Linked DNA regions of Danio rerio. The protein of the gene in region 2 interacts with the protein of the main gene of each other region in a biochemical or structural test. Links are inferred from orthologs where the notes say so. Each region holds a gene or a part of one and is shown on either strand. Other genes may lie near its edges.

Region 1 (6,972 bases), about 5.7 Mb from region 2:
TGCTCGGTAGCTTTCAGAAGGAATGAGAATAAGCATGGTTCTTGTGTTGTATCAAAAGCATTTAGCCCTCAATTTTTTGGCTTATAGGCCTACTCTTTGATTCCACATTCATGAGACAATTTTGCCAAGTCTTGACTTCCCAGAACACTTGTAGCTCATCCAGAAAAAAAAAATTCAAAAGGTTCTTCAGCTTAGGACATTAAAACAATGTTCTGTAAAAAGAATTCACACTGCATTGCATGATAGAATGGTCTATGGAAGCCCGTTCCACCACTGACTGACAAAAAAAAAAAAAAATACTAAAAAAAGGTCCGAATTTTGAGTTATAGTTAGAAAAATGAGGTACGAAGTTAGAATTCCGAGTTATAAAGTCGCAGTTTTGAGCAAATTCAGAATAACAAGGGATAAAGTCAGAATTCTGAATTTAAGTCGCAATTCCGAGTTATAAAGTCAGAATAAGTTATAGTCACAATTCCGAGTTGGCTATAAAGTCGGAATTCGAGGTTATAAAGTCATAATTCTGAGTTTTAGTTGCAATTCGCAGTTATGAAGTCAGAATTCCAAGTTAGCTATAATGTTAGAATTCTGAGTAATAAAGTCGTAATTTTGAGCTAGTTATAAACTCAAAATTCCAAGCTATAAAGGCAAAATTGCAAGTTATAAAGTCGCAGTTCCGAGTTAGCTATAAAGTCGCACTTCCAAGTTACCTAGTCAGAATTCCAGCTTATAGTCAGAAATTTATAAAGTCGCAATTCCAAGTTAGCTAGTCAGAATTCCAGCTTAGTCAGAAAGTTATAAAGTCGCACTTCCAAGTTACCTAGTCAGAATTCCAGCTTATAGTCAGAAAGTTATAAAGTCGCAATTCCAAGTTAGCTATAAAGTCAGAATTTCAGGTAATACAACTCAGAATTCTGAGCTATTAAGTAAAAATTTAGAGTTATAAACTCAGAAATCTGACTTTATAATTTGAAATTCTGACTTTATGACTTGAAATTCTGAGTTTATAACTCAGAAATGTGACTTTATAACTCAGAATTCTGACTTTATATTCAAATATATATATATATATATATATATATATATATATATATATATATATATATATATTTTTTTTTTTTTTTTTTTTATTAGTCAGTGGCGGCAACGGGCTTCCATAAATGGCAGAATGTCCTATGAACACTGAGCTAATTCTCAGTAAAAAACATATGGCATATTCCATTGTTTCACACACGAATTAACTTTCTTAATGAATCAAACTTTTATAATTCCTTCTGAATCAATGCAATGTTTCATCTGCTGGTATTAAATATAAGAATTTAATTTCTTTCTCATAATATTTAGAACATTTAGAATCAGAATTCTTTTGGTAATTGGCTCTGAAATCAAATGTACTAAGAATTCAAATTACTCTAAAAAAATACACTGTTGTTTGATTTCAGAATAAATGACGATGAACTTATTATTTTCAAACCCAAAACAGTCAACATGCCTTTTTTTGCACAAATAAAACGATTCTTTTCCCTGAATCAGAAACATTGATTCATAAATCTTTCAGAAATGTGAATGAAGATATTATGAATGGCTAAAATATTTCTGTTTGACGTTCCTCAAATGCACTTAAGCAAAAGTATAACAGTCAAGAATCCCGGCTTGTGTTGTAAAGCGGAATCCTTCACATATGAAAACGAAGCTCAGTTCTCAAAAGTGTACATCGGCAACTTTTGAAACACGGCCATACAATCTCTGTATTCACAACACGAGTGGGACACCGTAGATGGCAGCCTCACAACACACTCGTTGTCTGCGAACAGTTTCGTTTTTACTTTGAAGTGACACATTTAGTGGAAGAGTAACCAATTTTCTTGTAGTAGGAAATCGACGACGTTATGATATCGGCGGCGGTCATATTGACGTGAATATATGATGTCAGACCTAACTTACCAGGAAACAACCTAAAGCAGCGCGCGTTTAAACCAACACAACATGTGGAAAATAAGTGCTTTTTTGTAAGAGCACGAGAGACCCCAGGCTCTTCGTACAAAGTATGTTTGAGCAAAATAGGCACATTAAAGTCACCCCACCCAACTACGTAATTCACTGTCTCTGGGCCAAGAGAGCAAACAACAGTTCAGTGTTTGGCAGACTCACACAACGCAGACTGAGAGGAAAAGCAGCAAGACGGTTATTAATATGATCAGAACGAAAAAAACCATGGCTGCGGGGAATAACATAAGGTCAATTGCGCAATGTGATGAAAAACATTTACATATATATTCCGAGCAAAAATTTGCAAGAGAGAAAAAAACGTGTTTTTCCCCCTCCCCTCTTCGGGACTCCACTTGCGAGTCTTTTCTAATAGTAAGCACGTCTGTTTAAACCATCTGAAGAAACATGCATTGCATTGGAAGACAGCATATAGACTAGTAATTCTGAGTTTTGCTTTTGGAAAGTCCAGTTTTGATGTATATTTTCCACCAAGTACAACAATAACATCATTAAAGTCATTTTTGAAGCAATCATGACAAACTATACACTCGCTTTTAAATGCAAAGGGGAAACTGCTGTCTAGTTTGAGATCAAAGCAGAAAGTGTTCACAACTACCTGTATCAGCTTTTATTATTTAAAGAAACTGTGCAGTAGTTTGACATGTTGGGGATACATCTGGAACTGGTTGGGGTATATACTGTACCGGACTAAAGCTAAATCGGCTGAGACGTTTACTTTAGCATGAATATGTTTGTTTTGCCTTTAAAAAGTCACTGCAACACCATCTATGTTTCTAATTTTATGCATGTCTATTCTTTCCACCCAGTACCATCACATCTGTTCATTGCTAAACTTTAAGGGGTTCAGTAACATTGAGTGTCGCCATGGAAACTGGCTGTGTTTCTGGATAGAGTTACTGTGTGATTTAAACGGATAAGGCCATAATTGTCAAAACAAAACAATTTGTGTGAACATCAGTCAGTCATGTTCTGTAAAGTTATGATATTTAGAAGCAGATACAGTCTTTCCTCTCTTTTTTTCATGGGGAGTCGACAATAAGTTTAAAAATGCAAAGAAAAACAGAAAAACACACAACTCAATGGATTCCTCTGCGATGAAGGAGCATGGCTTACGTGCTGTAGACCATGACTACTTCACAACTGTTTCCATTCTGTCACTGTCTGTTTGGTCACTAGCACCACCTATCACAGATGAGACTGGAAGCGGCCCTTTAGAGCATTTTAAAATACCACACCATGGTAATCCTGTTCAAGACCACTTCCATCCCTTCTTTTTTTCTCCCATCTAATGTTTAAAGTCCATCAGAAAGGTTCAGAGTGAATTAAGTGATGTAGATACGGTGGAAGTCATTTGCTCCGAATGCAGCGTTGCATTTGGGGCACTTCCTCTGGCGAGTGTCATAGCGAGTCTTCAAGCATTCATAGCAGAAGACGTGGAAACACTTAGTGAGGACCGTCTCCTTATCACGAGTATTACAACAGGGACAACGCAATTTAGCCTAGAAAAGATAGAAAAGTCAGGTTAGGCACAAATAATAGTGATACAGTTACTATTCCAGTCAAATGTTTAGATGCTTAATCCATTATAATGACATACAAATTGAACAGTGCAAATATAAATTCTTTAGAGAATTAAATCTTAACATTATATAAAAAGAAGAAAGAACAAAAATTTGTAAACTTGATGCGAAAGATGAAGACGATGAAGTAAAATGGGAGCCATATATATTTTAATAGAGCTGTCGCTGTGATACTCCTCTCATTACTGTTATTCATGTCCTCCATAATAACCAATGAAGTACAGCAATGTAAAATTTTTGGTGTGACAGAACTGTGACAAATGTCAATCTAGAGTGATGTTGAAAGATGCAAAAAGGTCATAATGGTGTTTGAAAAAAAAAGTCTAATACAAATGAAACAAGTCTTATAATAAGATTCTATGCATTTTTCTTTTCACTAGAGGGACATAAACATGTCAGGTTTCATTTAAAATAGTTGCTTATAAAAGTTCATATTTGAAAAGTGTAAGTGACGCCAACTTTTTTTGAGTTAACTCAAATAACCACTCATTACAAATGAGATATGCAGAAGAGCATCTCTGAATGCACAACACGTCCAACCTTGAGGCGGATGGGCTACATCAGCAGAAGACCACACCAGGGCCAACTCCTGTCAGCTAAGAACAGAAAACTGAGGCTACAATTCGCACAGGCTCAACAAAATTGCACAATAGAAGATTGGAAAAATGTTGCCTGGTCTGATGAGTCTCCATTTCTGTTGCAACATTTGGATGGTAGGGTCAGAATTTGGCATCAATAACATGAAAGCATGGATCCATCCTGCCTTGTATCAACGGCTCAGGCTGGTGGTGTAAAGGTGTGGAGGATATTTTCTTGGCACAATCTGGGTCCATTAATTCTATTTGAGCATCGTGTCAACACCACAGCCCACCTGAGTATTGTTGCTGACCATATCCATCCCATTAAGACCACAGTGTACCCATCTTCTGATGGCTACTTCTAGCAGAATATTGCACCATGTCATATAGCACAAATCATCTTAGACTGGTTTCTTGAACATGACAATGAATTCACTGTTCTCAAATGGCCTCCACAGTCACCAGATCTCAATCCAACTGAGAACCTTTGGGATGTGATGGAACAGGAGATTTGCATCATGGATGTGCAGCCGACAAATCTGCAGCAACTGTGTGATGCTATCATATCAACAAGGACCACAATCTCTGAGGATTATTTCCAGTACCTTGCTGAATCTATGCCATGAAGGATTAAGGCAGTTGTGAATGCAATATAGGCTCCGACCTGGTACTAGTAAGGTGTACCTAATAAAGTGGCTGGTAAGTGTATATTATATACATAATAATAACAATATTAAAAACATACACAAAACAGAACTATTGTGAAAAATGATTACAATTTAAAATAAGTGTTAAATGTCATTTAAGAAATTCCAGCAGAATATTTTTAGGATTCTTTGGTAAATCTTATTCAAAACAACAAAAACAGCAATTACTTGAACATCTTGTAAAATTATGAAGTAAATTTTACACCATACTATAGATCAATCACTATAGATCATATCCTTTTTGAACCAGAATTTTAAAAAAAGTATTTACTGTGCCTAAACCTTTGATTACATACATCAAATGAATAACTGAAGAGCAAATCTTCACCTTATACTGATTAATTTCTTCTTGCAGAATCTCATCAGCATCCGTGTACACCTCAACCTTCTTCTGCTTCTCCAGCTTGCGCCTTAGTCTGGATAAGTCCTCCTGAAATAAGCAACAGAACACCAATGTTTTACACATTCTTCCCACTCATCTGTAAACACATCTACAACACGCATGCCCATGTACCTGTGCTTTCTTGAGGTTGACGCTCTCCCTCTCACGGGCGGTGCGGTTGTCTAGTACCGAGGCCTGGATCTCCCTCAGCTTGGTCTGAGTGTGTTCCAGCTGTACTTTAAGGTCTTCGGCCAACTGGGCCGCCTCCACAGCCTGAGCCATCATGCAGAAAGACAAGCATTAAACACACACACACACACATCTGGAAATGTGCACTAATGGTTGGTTAAGCTGAGTCATGGTTGTCATGGACATGAGAACAGAGGTGGGCGTCTGTGATCTTTCCGGATTTACCTTGCGCTTGTTGAGCTCCAATGCTTGAGTGCGCAGCGCCAGCTCTTTCTCCAGCGTGGCCAGCGTGCTCTGCAGGACGCCCTCCTTCTCTTCCAGTTTCTGTACGACCAGCAGCTGAGCGTCCACCTGGGAAGGGCAGTAAAAAGGAGATGATGCAATCACAGCAGTATTGTGAAAACAGAAGTTGTTTACTGCTTTTATGTGCAGGCTTTTTTGCCTTAAGACATGAGAGGCCTCCATTCAAGCAGGGATGGACAAACTATTCACACAATTATTTTTTTTCTAGACATTTGCTTTTTGTAGGGATGATGCTTTAGACTTTCTGGTACTTTACCCTGAATTAAAGGTAGTTAAGGGCCCTGTTTACACCTGGTATTAACAGAGTTTTTCATCGATCTGATACTAAGTGGTTTGCTAAAATGCCTTACAGTTTTCAGTTAATGTTATCATGCATCTCTTGTGATCACCCGTCTATCCTCTTGTTTGATCACACTTTGTTGGGAACCACTTAGTGACACATATCTATTAGTGCAGTGTTTCTCAACCACGTTCCCGAAGGACCACCAGCTCTGCACATTTCCTTGTCTCCTTAACCAAACACACCTAATTCAGATCATAAGCTCAATAGCAGACACTAAAAGACCTATAATGGGTGTGACCGACAAAGGAGACATCCAATACATGCAGTGTTGTTGGTCCTCCAGGAACGTGGTAAAGAAACACTGTATTAGTGAATGAATTAACCTAAACAACATGCTTAATAGCTAGTGAGAAAGGATGCATTTTAATACCTCTTTTCAACTGAGCAGTACGGTTCAGTTCACTACAAGTCACCTGATCAGGCTCGTGTATCCTTACTTTGTAGAAATGATGTACGCCAGGAAGTTGCAGTCGATATCATTCTCGCTCAAAGGAAATCATACGGGCCATTCATATATTGCGTAAATTGTGCACTAAAGTTCCAAACAAAAATTGACTATGACCAAGTCTAATTATATATAATCTTATGATCTTGCCACATAATGAATTAACTACACATCTCAAAGGATTATCGGATATCATAAGCATCAAAAGGATATAGTTAACGGTTTCGCTGCCCACAGTGTGTTTAATTTTGTGAGGTAATTAATAAACTTGCATCTGAAAGTTGAGGTTGTTGGTCACTTTTTCGTTTTGTGTGGTTTATTTATAAACTAATTTCAAGAGGAACACACGCTTCTGATTGAACACAGCTGGTCATGCATTAGCCAATTCAGGATTCACCAATCAGACGATTCCTTAGTCACTATAAATACCTTAAGTTC
Region 2 (8,249 bases):
GAAGCTCCCACAACTGCTTTATTCATCATTCCACTGTGGAATGCAGTCACTGTTCAGTTAGAAGACACATATATGAAGAAGCAATCCCGTTATCTTCTTATCGAAATAAGAGCTGCAAATTGGCATGTTGTGATAAAGTTCAACTGCCTTTATATGTATCAAGACTAGGTCAAGATTTCTAAATGTACAGATAAAAGAAGATTTACTGAATAGGAATGACATGGGTTCATCACACCAAGCATGATAACGTTTAAGATGACTTTAAAGAAATAATAACTTTACAAGCTTGTGGATATTCACTTGCGTCATCATATTTAAAATCCAGTGGGTAACAATCTGATATGATTCTTAATGCTTTTATTCTATGAGCATTTCCATGCAAGTCACCTTTGCAATTAAAAAAAAAAAAAAAAAAGATTTCACCAAAACCCTTTCTAAGTTTGTGTAGGCTTGTATTTTACAGTGCTGTAAAAAAACTCAAATATCTGTCAATGTTTTCAAACAATTATATTTGATTTACTAAAGTCACAAGTGCCAAATTCATGTCACATCCATAACCAAGCTTTTTCCTCTCCTTTTGATTAGCATTATTTCACTTGGGTTGAGCGGTTTAATTCACAAAATTTCTGCAAAGTATGTTGTAGACTGTAAACTCGCTGACTTTTTGTGTCACAGCCATAACGCATGTTTATTTCGTTCATTTAAAACAGTGGTCACCAAACTTGTTCCTGGAGGGCCGGTGTCCTGCAGATTTTAGCTCCAACCCTAATCAAACACACCTGAACAAGCTAATCAAGGTCTTATTAGGTATACTTGACACGTCCAGGCAGGTGTGTTAAGGCAAGTTGGAGCTAAACCCTGCAGAGACACTGGCCCTCCAGGACCAGGATTGGTGACCCCTGATTTAAAATATAAAAAAATGTATACAAACGGATATTTTTCTGATCCCATAACTCTGTGGTTAATAGTTTTGGAAAACATAAAAGTATGTTTTATTATAAGGTTGACTTACTTTCTATGTAAATTTGTTTTGAGATTTCACTGCAAATGTCACATCCATAACGCTGAAATTGCTCCTATTCATTAATTTACCAGTAATAATATTTATATTCAGTAAGAAATTTGACAGAAATTAAACAATACAATTACATTCTCTGTAAATAAACTTAATGTGACAAAAGTGTTATCCTTTGGAAAGACATGCAAAAAAGTTGTTTATTGCGGATGTTTTTCCCTAAAGGAAAGGCCTTGCATTTGAGGTTTCAGTTTAATACTAGAAATCAATATAGATTACTTACAAAAACTTAGCAAGAGTAATGCGTTTACAATAACAATACAACAGTATACATGATAATCCTATTAAATTACATTTTTTAAAAGATCTTATGTATAATTGCATTCATGCACAAGTGTTTACATCAGCGTGATCCATCAAAAACAGTTTGTACCTATATTTTTATATAACAAAAGAACAATCTCATAGAAATTAATGAATTTCAGACTATTTACAGCAGATCTGACTTAAGCACTTTAAATAATCTTGTTCTGGTACTTTATTCTGGATACTAATACAGTTGAGGTCTCTATTTTCCAACTCAGTGAATTGAAGAGTTAAAGGTGCAGTAGGTGATCGGTCTAAATGCTAAGCGGTTAGCATAACATCTTTGAAACACAATCCCTCCCCTGTCGTCCAAGGCCACACCTCCTCAAATTATGAACACGCACATTAAAGATGACAGAGACCCACTAGGTCATGTTATTTGCCAGTTAGAAAGCTTTATAGTACTTTATAATACTACAGTTCTGAATGAAAGTCTGTATTATTTATAGCATGTTTTTAGTTGTGTAGTTAGCAAGCAAACCTTTTCATCCCTCTGTTATCACTCTCTCAACAGTCTTAATATCTCACAGGTTTTGTCCTAAAGCGACTAATGTATGCTTATTGATTGGCCGGCAGCATGCAGGAATTACACTTAATACAAAGCCATACTGACATGCTGTTTCAGAGCGAATATTCAGAGTAGCATGGTAAACAATATAGGGAGCGTGTCACAGGTGGTCACTGTTCAAAAATGAACCAATGTGATGTGAATATAAAAGCAACTTCAGCCTAGTAAAGCAGGCTAGGCAGAATAGCGCTATTTACTAATGTTTTGTTATTAAACTAAAAAATAATCAATGCTGTAAAAGGTCTCTAATGAAACTGAAAATAGTTGCATCATCTTTTGCCGGAAGATTTCAGCGGCTGAACAACACTTCTGTCCATATAACCCATTCCTAATGGGTCCATATAACCCATTCCTAACAATCTACATCAGCTTTGCATGACTAAAATGCTTTCAAAACATACCATTACCTGTCTAAAAGAAATATTTCAGGCATGGAGTCATCATTCCAACAGAGTGCAAAAGTAACTCCAATATTGATCTAGGATTTTAAAAAGTTTTGATTATGAGATTGTTTTCAGCACTGTCACTCGTGTCCACTGCCCGTGTAAACGCACGGCACGATCTGCGCGAACGGGTTGGCAGTTGTTCAAATCTACATTTGTTGACAGACAGTTTGGGCTTCTTATCGGAATTATAGGTCCGAAAATATTTAATTGGATGAACTTTTTTTTGTCTTATGGCTTACCCAAGAATATAAAAATACATATAAATACATTTAGATCATTTACTTTAATCATTACTATAGACTTTTAACCAGCACAACAAATTTTTTTTCTGAAGACCATCACCTACTGCTGCTTTAAGAAATCAATGGCTAAATAAACAAATGAATCAAGTGGTAAAATATCATGAAATGTATATGAAGAAACTGATGATCACAGTGAAACTCAACTAAACTTGACTTGCCAGCTTGACATAGCAACATTTGATCGATCAAAATCATGAGTGCCCATATGATACGGAAAGAAATGTGAACTTCATCTGTAGAGCTGCTTAAAGTGTCGCCAACATTTTATTGGTTTATGCAAGAAAAAACTATTTATTAATTTACAAAAAATCTTATTTTGACATCTTGCCAAAACAGAAATTCTGTTTAATGTTCAGCTAATTCAATAAAGTTTCATTCAAGAAACTTTAACAAATGTATTACTATTGTATTGTATAACTTACATTTCAAAGTAATAATAATAAAAACTACGTATTAAAACAAAAGAATAAAATAAATAATAAAAATGAATAACAATTTTTTAACCATTTAATAATAAATCAACCGTCACTTCAAACCAGTTTGGTTCCGAACATTACTTAAAGTATGTTTTATTTTATGCTTGAGCAGTAGAAAACAAGCACAGGTATGCAAAAGACATGATGCTGAGGAAATAGTCTTAATTTTCATTTTTGGTTAAACTATCCAATAGAACTATAAAAAACAGATTTATTCTAGCATAGCTAAAAACATGCTTAATGTTTCCCATATCAATAAACTCATGTGGATCTGGCAAAAAAGCATTAGGAATTCTGCAGGACATTTTCAAGTGATATGAAATTATTACAATTCTATCTCTCACAATTTCTGATTTGAAAGCTAGGCAATCCCTGTGAAATGCATTTAACTTTGTCTCTTTAACCAAACACAGCAACATGACTAACACAAAAGGATGATTTCTGACTAGTTGTGTTTCTATAGAAAAACCTAAGCACTAATTGAGAACGCCATAAGGTTTACAACACAGATCCATGACCAGTATCAGCCTCAGACCTGTGCATCTAATCAAACGATCAATATGACTCCCGGCCTTCCCCTTCTTACCTCCTTCTCGCTCTCTCCCTCTGTGTGGATGGATGGCTTTTGCTCTGCCATGGCCAGTGTTGTCCATGTGTTTATTGTCTGGACTGTCTGATCTCCGCAGCATCTTGCATGGTGGAGTGGCATCATTACTGTCGCGCATCTTCTCATGTCTGTGATCCGGGTGACTCTTGGATGAGTACTTAAGAGTCTGTCAAAACATGACATTTCTGCATTGAACTATGCTGCACAATTACTCTCTCTCAAATGCATTAAGGAGCTGGTTTATAGTGGACATAGCTGATATTACATAGCTGACAAGCCTGTTTACCCTGAGAGGACTATGTTTGATGCTACTCTAAGGTGTTTTTGACTAGCAAACAAACATCTGACATGTTTTAAATTAATAAAACATTTCATAGGACTATATTATGTATATTAATGTTGTCATACCATATCTTTACTTTTTTCAGTTAACTAACGTAACATGGAAAGTCTATAAGGACAATTATGCCATTCTTAACTATATCTTAATCATTTACACGATAACTGCATTCGTTTTATTTGGATATGGTTGCACTAACTAGCTATCAAGACGGCTGTTTATAAACAACCTCTTGGCCTTAAATTATATTTACGACATAAAAGTTTTTCTAAAACATCTTATTATGCCCCATAATATCATGATAATACATTTTATATTACCAATTTTGATGAAACTCGCAGTAAACGCAGGCCTGGTGTAGCCGCTAGCAAGCTAACGTTAGCCTGTTAAAGTCGCTAGCGCCCTGGGCGCATTTAAAATGTGATAAATTCGACGGGCAAGCGATTTACGACAGTGTAAATTCATGTTCACATCCTAAAATATACGTGTTTGTCGTTTTAAGCTGATCTCCGGAAAAATACGACACTTTTTTGCTCTGTTTTACGCACAGAGGCCTGTACTGCTTCAAAAGCCTGGACTAGATTTACCCCATTTTAATCTTATTTGTTTCAGATCTACCTGATAGGGCTGAGAATCCCTTCGGTCGGTGCACCTATGAAATAAAACAAAAAAGAGAGACAAAATTAAAGTCAAAACCCATTTTGACTAACATTGTTAGAAATTGCAACAGCTGAATCGGCTTCCTTAAGTTTCTACTTATTTTGGTTTGGCTAAAAATGGCGGATTGTCAAAGCGGAGAAGGAAAATCGTAGTATAAAACAGCTCTTTACCCATCGCCGAGTCTCGGTTGTTTCCTTGCATACATTACCATCAATGCCGTGTTAGTGTGTGTGAAGTAGATGTGAAAGATGGGCGACTTATTTTGCTTTAGGAGTGGGCTATCGACGACACGATCGCGTATATTATTTCAATAGTTCTGGCTATTGGAGTCGCTCTTCGCCTCTGCTAGTCAGTAGAGCGCCCTCGGTCCATCTCCCACTCACACACACACCAAAACTCTGCCCCTATCTACAGAACAGCGAAGCTCAGCCTTCCTCACACACCTCAATCCGGGTTACTTCGGGGCTCGCTTCGGATACACTCGGCTACTGTCGGGATATTTCGGCCGCAAATACAGTTCTGAAGTAAGTAGCGCATGTGAACACGAAGCATCGGTGAGGATGTTCACTGGGATAAAACAAGTCTAAACCAACTGTGCTTGAATTACTCACAAAGAAGTTTAATTCTCATTCAATTTTAGGTTTGGAAAAGTGTTGACTTTCAGTGCGAGCAATTTTAACCCAATACTGACATCTACTGGACGTGTTGAGTCAGTACTGGAAGATGGATGCAGTGCAGAAAGGCCCTGATGCAGTATGACTCACTAAAACAAGTGAGTCTGGGGAATTCTGGGAAAAGATGCATGATGTGAGCGCACTTTTTAAATGAGACAGCAACAGGAACAATGTCAAAAATATCACAAGTGGAACCGAGTCCTTCCAGGTAATATGAAGTGAGAAAAAACAAGATTGTTATTTGAAACCATTCATTGCAAAATATAGTGTTTTAAATCTAATATAAATTAAGTTGGCTTTAAAACTAATGTTCTAAACGTAAAATATCTGCCAGTAGCAATTAGAGCTGTAGGTTCTCTTGGGTAATGTATATGTGCACATTTAGTCTGGATTTTTGTCTGTTTTTCCATGTAAATTTTGTGCCAGTTCTGCCAAATGAGATGAAGAGTGTGGGTGGATATTTACAGGTCATACAGATTTTCAGTTGCATTCAAACTTGAGTTATTGCAGATTTAAAACCCTGTCAGCTCTTCAAAAAATTGTTTATTCCAAGCTAAAAAATAAGTATTTTAAGTTTGCATATTGTTTTATTAAAACTTGTACTGATAATAGACTTCAATTAATAAACTAAAGAAAGTGCTATTCACCCTTTCAGTATTGTATTTTATAAGTTCACTTGTAGTTGCAGTCCAAACAAAAACACATTGTACTTTAAAAAAATCTTGCTGCCATTTGTTTTGGATGAATCAAATAGCTTTTCTAGTCATCTCAACTTACATCAGTCAAACTGATTTAAAATATTAAGATAAACTTTGTATAACAAAAAAAATAAACAAAACAACAATAAAAAAACATTTTGATGGGACAGTGGCGCAGTGGATCGCCTCACAGTAAAAAGGTCGCTAGTTTGAATCTTGGCTGAGTCAGTTGGCATTTCTTTGTGGAGTTTGCATGTTCACCTTGTGTTCACATGGGTTTCGTCCAGGTGCTCCGGTTTCCCCCACAAGTCCAAAGACATGCGCTATATGTGAATTGGGTAAGCTAAATAGTCCATAGTGTATGTGTGTGAATGAGAGTGTATGGATGTTTCCCAGTGATGGGTTGCAGCTGGAAGGGCATCTGCTGCGTGAAACATATGCTGAAAAGAATGAATGAATGGGTGAATTAAAAAAAAAAACATTTGTTACCAACTTTTGTCATATAGTTTTTTACAGTGTGAGCACTCTGAGATTTATACAGTAAATTAAAAATTTCAAGAGTTCATTCAGAGCAGGGTTAATCTGCTTTCAGCTACACCCCCACTGCTGGAATCAGCTTCCAGAAATGATCAGATGTGCTCCAACAACAGGTACAATCAAATCAAGACTTAAAACACATCTGTTTAGCTGTGCCTTTACTGAATGATCACTGTGCTATGTCTGACAGATCACACTAATATGTCTTTTTTTTTCTTTTTTTTCTTTTAAAAGCTGTTTAACACATTTTAATCTGTTTTTAATCATTTTATTTTTAGTTTTTTCCTTGTATTTTCTTTCTTTCTTTCTTTCTTTCTTTCTTTCTTTCTTTCTTTCTTTCTTTCTTTCTTTCTTTCTTTCTTTCTTTCTTTCTTTCTTTCTTTCTTTCTTTCTTTCTTTCTTTGAATAAAGAACTTTGAATTACCATGGTGTATGAAATGTGCTATAAAAATAAACTTGCCTTGCCTTACAGTACACGTAAAAACTAAAAAGTGGGAAAATTCAGTATAAATAATAAAGTGAAAATAGTGAAATAGCATATTTACTACCTTGATATTTGTATATTGATTACATAAAGTGCACTTCATACATTTGAATTCTACTGAAACAAACTTATACAGATTGTTTTAAACCATGCAGCATCACTGACATAAACAGGAATATAAAAGTGATACAAACTTCATCTTAAACTTAATAGCTTAAATTTAAAGTGAGAAGTAACCTGTTAGTGGCAGTTCCATTAAAAGTTGCTTCGGTTAATTTCATTAATGGTGTTAAAGCGACAGTATACCCAAGGCGGAAATGTTGATCATCATTTACTCACCCAAGAGTTTCTTTCTTCTGTTGAACACAAAATAAGATATTGTGAAAAAAACTAAAAACCTGTCACCATTGACTGCTGTATTTGTTTTTCCTACCATGGAAGTCAGTGGTTATATGTTTTCAGCTACAGGGTGAGTAAACAGTGAGTGGATTATCATTTTTTGGGTGAACTGTCCCTTTAATGTTGCAAAGTTAATCAGTTACGATATGAAACAAATTTAATGAAGCAGTACAAGCATGCATTATTGGGTTCAAATGATTTAGTTTGGTTCAACAGCTGTGCTTGTGTTACAAAGTTAATCTGTGCATGTGTTGCAAAGTTAATCTGTGCATGTGTTGCAAAGTTTATCAGTTATTAATGGTTTCTAAGACTGTCATAGGTCACATTAAAATTGTATAAAAGAGTGTTAATACAGTCAAATCCATACTGTTTCTCTGAATGTCTAAAAATTAAGCTCCATGACATTATGTTGTGTCTATAGTACTCTCCCCATAAAAAACTGGAGTTATTGTCATGAAGTTTTTCAACTATTTGCTCATAGTTTATTCCAAATATCTAAACAGCAAAAATCCTCTTTTAGCATCATTGTTGGATACACTGTTTTCTAACAATGAAAGCAGGTGCATCAGCACACTGATTGTTCGAGTCCTTTATCAGCTCTTGAGCACATGTGCTTCTAGAATAAGTTTACACATTTTCCATGTTACACTGTTAAGAAATGTACAAAATAAAACAGA

The links.
Region 1: the proteins of waca (region 2) and rnf40 form a complex in vitro, tested with the Homo sapiens proteins (2 studies listed by BioGRID). The link is inferred for Danio rerio from reciprocal best matches to the Homo sapiens genes WAC and RNF40.

The regions. Positions count from the first base shown.
Region 1 is NC_133187.1:30,765,966-30,772,937, reverse strand, and holds the end of rnf40 (E3 ubiquitin-protein ligase BRE1B), read right to left. Parts: intron 5,795-6,972; coding exon 5,669-5,794; intron 5,528-5,668; coding exon 5,387-5,527; intron 5,303-5,386; coding exon 5,201-5,302; intron 3,507-5,200; coding exon 3,330-3,506; 3' UTR 2,600-3,329; downstream 1-2,599.
Region 2 is NC_133187.1:25,083,784-25,092,032, reverse strand, and holds the start of waca (WW domain-containing adapter protein with coiled-coil), read right to left. Parts: upstream 5,181-8,249; 5' UTR 4,992-5,180; coding exon 4,951-4,991; intron 4,773-4,950; coding exon 4,739-4,772; intron 3,947-4,738; coding exon 3,760-3,946; intron 1-3,759.